Linked DNA regions of Nothobranchius furzeri. The protein of the gene in region 1 binds, or shares a complex with, the protein of each later gene. Links are inferred from orthologs where the notes say so. Each region holds a gene or a part of one and is shown on either strand. Other genes may lie near its edges. The genes, in order: setdb1b and ubiquitin-conjugating enzyme E2 E1.

Region 1 (3,821 bases):
GAATTACGGCCATGGCGTGGGTCACAGGTGGAGGGGGAGGAGCCACAGAGGGCTGTCTCTGGTAGGAAACGGTGACAGAGGGTTGGGACGTAGAGGCATTCGGAATAGCCATCACTTTTCCGCTGTGGATTTACAAAAAGACAAATATAAAAAGGTAATCACATAACTTAAATCATACAGCAACCATCCCAAGATCATAATCTGAACGGATTTGATCAGTTTTCTTTGTTTAAAGTTGTTGGTTTTCAATAAAGTTAGAAATAAACACGATTTAATCACAGAAATTACAAGAAATTAGCAAAACAATCCATAAAGTTTATTCTGTGTTAATTTCCTGATTATTTGCGTTTAAAAATCCCTCATTTAGATTTTTAGATTACAGATACCTGTTTCCGCCACCAGGTGGCAGTAAGGTACAACACTGAATAGAGGTTGGTGTGTTAAAAAGGGAATTCTCATAGGTTATTGTAAGTAAATTACAGAGCAGGTCACCCCCTACCAGAGTATTACTCCACTCCCACTTCCTGTTTGAAAAATGCAACAAATGCTGTTGCTAGCAGAGCGAGAGGGCGGAGCCACTAACAAATACACACACACACAGGCTCACAATGACACTGTGACATCATATGGTACCAGCTAACGTTCCAGGGTGCCTCTTAGCCAATAGCGATGGCAGATTGAGGCCCTGTCCACACGTAGCCGGGGATCTGCCAAAACGTAGATATTATTCTACGTTTTGGTCTGTCATCCACACGAAAACGGAGTTTTTTCACACGAAAACGGATCTTTTTAAAAACTCCGGCCAAAGTGAAGATCTGCGTTTTCTCCGTTTTGGGTGTCTGCGTGTGGACAGACAAAACCGGAGTTTTAAGGTAAGCAACGCCACTTTCCGCAACAAAAAAATGCTGACATCACGTGTGCGACCTGTGTTTACACTAGCCGACAGCATGGACGCCCTCAGAGCTGCGCTCGCTTTATCAGTTGTCCAAGCGCTTTTTGCTTGTTTGTTTTTGCAAGAGGAATTACTGCTCCTTGCGGAAGACCACAGACGAAGGACGAGGTTAAGAACGGGGGAAGTACTGCCGCCTACAGGTCTGGCATGTCCTTAACAACGTATTTATCCGGGTACGTGTGGACAGAGTTTTTTTTTAAAACGAGGTGGTGTGGATGCAAGTTTTTGGAGGGGCGGATATTCGTTTAAAAAAAACGGCTACGTATGGACTAGACCTAAAATTCAAGTGCAGAGTTTTTACCTGACAACGGCACAACACTGACAGTTTTAGGCAAAAAAAAAAAATTTTTTAACTAAAATGCACTAAAGTGCAAAACTGTTGACTACACGTGTCTGCAGCACGATTAGACACGTATTTATATAGTTTATCAGAAAAAATAAGTTGATTTGGTGGCAACTTGCTCTTTAATTTTGGATCATTAGAGTATATACAGTAAGAGTATATAAAAACATAAACAAATACATAAAAATAAACATCATTAAAGTAATTTAATCGTGAGGTGAACCTACCTGAGGTTGCTGGAAGTGGGGGACAAAGTCTGCAAGATTTTGGAGGCATGTGTTCCTCCAACCCCAGGGATAAATGGAGATGTGCTCTTCTTTGCCATCTGATGCTTATTCCTTGAATATAAAAACACGACAAATCATATAAAACTAGAAAATCAGCTGTTGATAAGCGTGTGCTAGCATCGTTTGCTCTACTGGTGTCCACGGATCGATGGCTTTAGTAGAATCTCAATGTTTTTATTTCTAAAAGCCTGTTGGAACTGAACTGCTGTTATTCAGTTGCCATGGTGATGTAGCCTTGGAGCAAGTGAACCAGTTTAATTAAATCAAGTTCAAATAGACCTTTCTTTTATCACAGTTTTCATTATTTTCCTTTTTACTGAAAAAACGTGATGTATTCAGTTGCTAACTGAGTCAACAGAGAACGCTAATGATGCTAAAACTAATGACACGCTAACATCCTTAGCTCAACTTCCCAAATGCAGCGCAGTTTGTCTCGTCCTCCATTTGAGGTGCAGGACCTGAGACGTTAAATAACAGCTGACTGAAACTGCGTACATCAGAACCAAAAGCTTTTCTTCTTTAAGTTTGTGAATAATATTAATACCATTGACATATATACTGGACAATTCGTGTCCATAGGCTCCAATAATAAGTTTTTGCGCCAAAATGGGAGGTGGCCACCACCACCGTTTTGACCGTGTCACAGGTTCCGTCAAGCCCAGACAATTCCACAAAAGGCAAGAGAGGTGGAGCTGAGGGTGTGGCTTTAAGGCTGGGATCAACTGACGACACCCGGTCGAACTGAAGCGATGTAGCTACAAGCTAACCCAAAGCTAAATGCGGTGGTGGGAGCTAAGCTAATGGAGGTAGCTACCTAGCTACAACCGGAGTTAACTGTGCACAACACCGGAGCTTCTGAGTCAGAGATACGCCGGGCTGACCGCTGGGGAGCAGGGGCGGCGTTAGGCCCGGCTACTTGGGCTCAAGCCCCAGATCTAAAACGTGGAAGTAACATGCAGTACCAAAGTCCAACAGAGAGGGAGCAGCTGGCAGTAGTTTGTATACAGCCTGCCTGAGCCTCCACCACTGAAGAAGAAGCCCTTCAGCAGCCGGCTTCTTCTACACTCTCTGCCTGAAACGCATGAGTGAAGATGGACATAAGGAGGTTTTTTAGACCAAAAGTACCGCGACAGAACCCCAGCTTTGATGAGACTGGTGTTGACTCAGGTTTGTGAGTCTTATTTGAAAATATTTGTGAATTGTAATATATATGATGTTGACTAGTGCGTGTCACGTGTGTGTGTGTGTGCGTGCGTGTTAAGCCCTGGATCTTCTTCAGTCCTAAATCCGCCCCTGCTGGGGAGAACCGGGTGGAGCACAGAGGTTTCCCGAGAGCTCCACAAGCCGACAGCCGCGCAGCAGACAAGCGCCGCTGCGATCAGAGATGCGCCAAGCTGACCGCTGAGGGGAGGGGACCCTACCGATAGTCGGAACCTAGCTCCACCAACATGTTATATTTCAACCCATTTTCTAAAGTGCAGCATTATGTTAAATGCACTGGGTTTTACCCTATTACATTTAAAATTCATGGTTAAACAGTACGTGTTAAAATCTAAGCTCAGCTCGGCAGTGACCTAAAATACATAAATATAATTTTACTTACCAAAAAAAATTAAGTGGAGACTCCTTGGACGCTCCGTTAGTGCAATTAATGCCACAGCAAGTCATTTTGTCCAACAATTGTACAAATAATATCCAAAAAGAACGCACACACGCTACAACTAATGGTCTAAGTTGAGAGACTGAAAATGACCGAACAGTTTTCAGGCGAGGCCGAGGCTCTACTGAGACCTTTCCCCGGAGCTAGCTCTGTGGCCACAGAATTTTAGGCTTTTAATACACTTAAACAGAGGAGTGACAAAAAAATTCACCCCCCTCAGAGTTGTCATGAGTGTAAACTAGATCATTTAAACAAAAAACATGTTTTGGTACCAGGCTGTAAACATGTTTATTTCTGCTGTGAAATTGGTATTTTTAACATGGGAGTCAAAGAGGATTTGCTCGCTTCTGACACCAGCCCCTAGTGGATGAGGGTGGAAGTGCAATTTTTGTCACCTCCGTGTTGGCTTCATATCCAAACCCAAATTATGGGGGCTTGATTAATACCCAGTTTTAATTATTAAACAGCCCACGACTGTGTAAGTAAAGACAACAAGTGTTAATCACACCTTCTCAACAACGACCAGCTAATAAGTTCTGTCCATCACCTCAGATTTAAGCAAGTACGAAAACAAAAACT
Region 2 (4,262 bases), about 13 Mb from region 1:
AGTTTCACGAGCGAGATGAATGGTTCCGTTCAAGCGTTTAGTTCGGCATTGTGAAAATCTGCGCTGATTCCCAACATGTTTGCGTTCCCAGCTGATGTTGATGCGCGGCGACAGAAACGAGAAAAAGAAAAACAAAACGCTCGAGGTCGAGTCAGCAGCAGCACGGGGGGAAGGGCTGCGTCTATGTGCTGGAGCGGTCCTCTTTTTCTCATTCTTGCTTCAAACCTTTAATTGTTACATTTATATGTGTCTTAATGCCAAAGGCAGCGGTTCACAACGAGAGCTGACAACACAGCCGTCGTCTAATTTCACGTTATTATTGTTTTATCCACAAAGACTTGAGGCCCGAGTCTTCGTTACCAGTTAAGTTTTTTATGAAGCGGGGAGGACTAATGCTGGATTACTGATAGTGCTCACGAAGAAAGGTGATTTGAAGAAACATATGGCGTGTATATACCATCAGACACGTTTTAATTTATAGCTTACGATACAAAATTACCATATTTAATGTTAACCACGAGCTAGCTAAGGCTAAAGACTGTTAACCGTAGCGGAAAGCGTTACCTAACGAAAAAAAAAACAGAAGGCGAATCGCTGTGAAATCTCGCGAGAATCCTATCTCATGTCTGCAACATGAGATCAAAACAAACAAGCTAGCTAACTGATGTGTAATGTTTTGTGTTTGCACCATGGTTTGCACATGATCACATCCTGGATTTAATTTATTCTTTCGGATGTAAATGTTTTCAATATCTTAATTTTTTCTAATTTTATTCAGACTTATATATATATATATATATATATATATATATATATATATATATATATATATATATATATATATATATATATATATATATATATATATATATTGCTGCTAGGCTATATCAAGGAAAGGTGGTGCATAAATGTTTAGAAAATTAACATTTTCAAATAAATAATTTCCACAAAAACCTTTTAAAAAATAAGACTGTTTTCCCCATTATTAAGCACTTGGTTTGTTCATTTTTATTCCAGCTTGTTTTGTTAATCCTGATAAAAACCAGATGTTTTGTTTTTGTCAACACTACACATTTGAAAATGTGTTCAGAAACATAAACCTCCCAAAAGGAAAATACTATTACCTACCTTTATTCACAAGTGCTCCACATTTTTGGGTTACTTTCACTTTTCAGATTTCCTCCCATTTCTCCTCAGGTTGCGGCTCTTCTCCAATCCTAACCGGTATGTCGGATGAGGATTCCCGTGCCAGCACCAGCTCATCCTCATCACCACCTTCCTCCAGCCAAAACAGACACAAGGATACAGCTTTCAAGAAGAAACGGGAGAACAAAACCAGCATGAGCAAGACCTCCAAGCTGCTTTCCACCAGCGCCAAAAGGTTAAAAGAAATCTGTCATACAGCAATGGGCAGATTATTGTTGCTCATTAGATTCATGTCTGTTTAAAACCCCTTAAGACAACAATGTTGTTTACATATAAATATGTAACTTTTAGTAGCTGCTGATGGCAGGATAAGCTCAGAAACATGAGTAAACGACAGTAGAATTTGTTTTCATGACTTCCCCTTGTGTATTTATTTAACAGTGAAAAAAACACATTGATGGTCAAAGAGGAACTAGTTTAATTTGTGCTTAGGCGGTTGCTTCTATAAGCCAGAGTAGTGTTGTAAACCATGTTTTTAAGGAAGTACCAGTTTCTTCTTCAGTAAAAAAAAAAAAAAAAAAAATCTTCACAGTTTCAGTCTCATTCAACATTCTTTTCTACAAAAACAGTCAAACAGCATTAAGGTGTGTAAGTTAGTTTTCTGATGCCATGTTAACTAGATCATATTTATTTTTAATCACTTTGTTTGATTCTGAGTAATTCCACCTCTGATCCTTCCATCAGTAATTGATTTTTGTAACATTTGCAGAATTCAAAAAGAGCTGGCTGAAATTACCCTGGACCCTCCGCCAAACTGCAGGTGAGTTTACGGTTTTATGGTTCTTTATGTACTCACCAGCACGACAGATCAGAGTTTTGTCCTGATATTGGCTGATCCAAACTTCCTAAATGTTGAAACAGGTAAAATCATTATTATAGGTCAGTTCACAGTTCCAATACCCACACTGCACCCTGTGTCTTCTGTGAAGTGCGCTTAGAGGAAGTGTGCAGTAAGGCTCTGTGTGCTGAATTGGGACAGTGGCCGTTGCATCATCGACCACTGTGCATGCAGGGATGCCGGTTGCTGTTTGTGCTACTTTTTAAAAAAGCTTTATTAACAATTTTTAAACAGTTGACACAATTTACATTCATTGCTGTTCACATTAAATTTTAATCTTAAACATTCAGTAATGATATTTATTCATATAAATATCATTAGTCGTCTTAAAATGAACTTCTTTTGTTTGAAAATACATATTTTCAAATAAGGCACTTGAGCCATTGTTCAGTCTTTTCAAAATGCCTTCACAGCAATGGGTTGTGGGTAATACCCTTTGCCCAAGTCCGCATCAAGTGTGCAAAAGGGGTGTGGTCAATTTCCGCACTTGAGGATTGGTACACCTTGTGCCCCTGGACAGGAATGCGCAATTGAAGGGCACAAGGGTGGAAGTGTGAGTATTGGTATTGAGCCTAACACAACAACACTGGTTGACTCCTGGTTTCACAAGAACATGTGTCTAGAATGAGGAGGCGGGGCCAAGCTGGTGAGGCTGTGTTGGGATATTCCACGTCCTACTGATTGTCCCTCACAGGGGCCAGTATTACCGTGTTTTCACTACAGGAGTTCAGGGACACTTCTGGGAGAGGGAAAATTCTATAGCTCTGTCCTATCAGCTGTTTCTCCAACCAATCAGCAGAACGTAACAACAAGTCCCGTCCAGCGGCACTACCGGGCCTTTTCCTCGTACTTGCTCCAATTCAGGTTCTAGGTTGGTTCCTGAAAAGCTCTCAAAAGTGGCCCTATTGAGTCGGCCTGGTGAACGTAACGAAGGTCCAGCAAAATGACCCAGATGTTCCAAAAAAATGAAATGGGCCTTCTGTGTTGCTTTTTCCTGAGTACCGTGGGAGAGTTGAATCCAGTGAAGAACTGAATTCCAACAGCAGAATAAAGCAGGTTTAGATGGCACCACCTACAGTAAAGGTAACTAATCAGGCTTCCCACTGTTATCAGATCTATTACCATGAAGCTTCGTTGCAATAAACAAAATTATGTGTTGTCTCAGTTTGAGTTACAAATAGTTTCTTTTTCCTGAATGGAAATGTCAAATACCAAAACATTCAGTTTAAATAAGCAGCTGTTCTTCCAAGAGGAACTAAAATATTAAAACAAATGCGTTTTCATCTGAAGATCTGTATTTACAGCTGTAACTGAAAGTTGAACTTATTTAAAAAAAAAAGCTTCCTTCCTGGTACTGAAACCAAATTTATACTTCTCCGTCAGCTCCACCAGGGAGAGAGACGCACGAATGGAGACGTTTTGCCCCCATACTTCTCCGTCTCCTGGGGAGTGTTACAAAGCAATTCCCCACCAGGACAATAGAGGGCGTAGCACTGTTCCGTGTTATCCGGTCCAAGATGGTGTTTATATTGTGTTTTTTGCATTTAAGAATGGCCAAAACACACACACAAATGCCCTGGGGCCTCATTTATCAAGCTTGCTTACGCACAAAACTGGGTTGGAAAACTGTGTAAGCAACTTTCAATGCAAACTTTGGGATTTATGAAAGAGAACGTAGCGGGAAAATGTGCGCAACTTTAAGTTGACTAAGGACCTGGCTTACGCACATTTTGGACATGGAGAGCACCTGCAGTGCTGCTGCTGAGAAGGGTTAAAATTATGAAATCCTGCAGCATTATCACTTGTACCGCTTCATTTTCACACAGAACAAGAACCCCCCCCCCCCCCCCACACACACACACACACACAGAGAGCCTGAAGCGCAGAATACGGAATGCAGAATATCATCGGGGGACAGATTGAGACAGAATGTCATGCGTAGGGCTGGGAAAAACGATTATTTTTGTAATCGATTAATCTAGCGATTATTTTTTCGATGCATCGATTTAATCTAATGATTAATTTGTTAATTTGATTAGATTAAATTATTGATTATTTCCCAATTATTTGACTTGTATAGCAGTTTCATTATTACTAATTTATGTATCTCAATGAAATAAATGCAAATTTCTTCATTTGAACACACAAATTCAAAAATAAAGTTGTTGTAATAGTAGTACAATCTTATGTTAGAGATAACATTTAACAAAAACTTAAA

The links.
Region 2: the proteins of setdb1b (region 1) and ubiquitin-conjugating enzyme E2 E1 are in contact, whole or in part, in a crystal structure (PDB 8IYA), measured with the Homo sapiens proteins. The link is inferred for Nothobranchius furzeri from reciprocal best matches to the Homo sapiens genes SETDB1 and UBE2E1. Residues at the interface, in NP_001138887.1 of Homo sapiens: Glu868, Gly869, Tyr870, Glu871, Ser872; in NP_003332.1 of Homo sapiens: Asn125, Ser126, Gln127, Val129, Cys131, Leu132, Lys136, Asp163, Pro164, Leu165, Val166, Gly167, Ser168.

Annotation. Positions count from the first base shown.
Region 1 is NC_091745.1:76,230,588-76,234,408, reverse strand, and holds part of setdb1b (histone-lysine N-methyltransferase SETDB1-B), read right to left. Parts: intron 1,634-3,821; coding exon 1,523-1,633; intron 123-1,522; coding exon 1-122. UniProt on the Homo sapiens protein: Histone methyltransferase that specifically trimethylates 'Lys-9' of histone H3. H3 'Lys-9' trimethylation represents a specific tag for epigenetic transcriptional repression by recruiting HP1 (CBX1, CBX3 and/or CBX5) proteins to methylated histones.
Region 2 is NC_091745.1:63,675,641-63,679,902, forward strand, and holds the start of ubiquitin-conjugating enzyme E2 E1, read left to right. Parts: upstream 1-1,226; coding exon 1,227-1,381; intron 1,382-1,915; coding exon 1,916-1,966; intron 1,967-4,262. UniProt on the Homo sapiens protein: Accepts ubiquitin from the E1 complex and catalyzes its covalent attachment to other proteins. Catalyzes the covalent attachment of ISG15 to other proteins. Mediates the selective degradation of short-lived and abnormal proteins.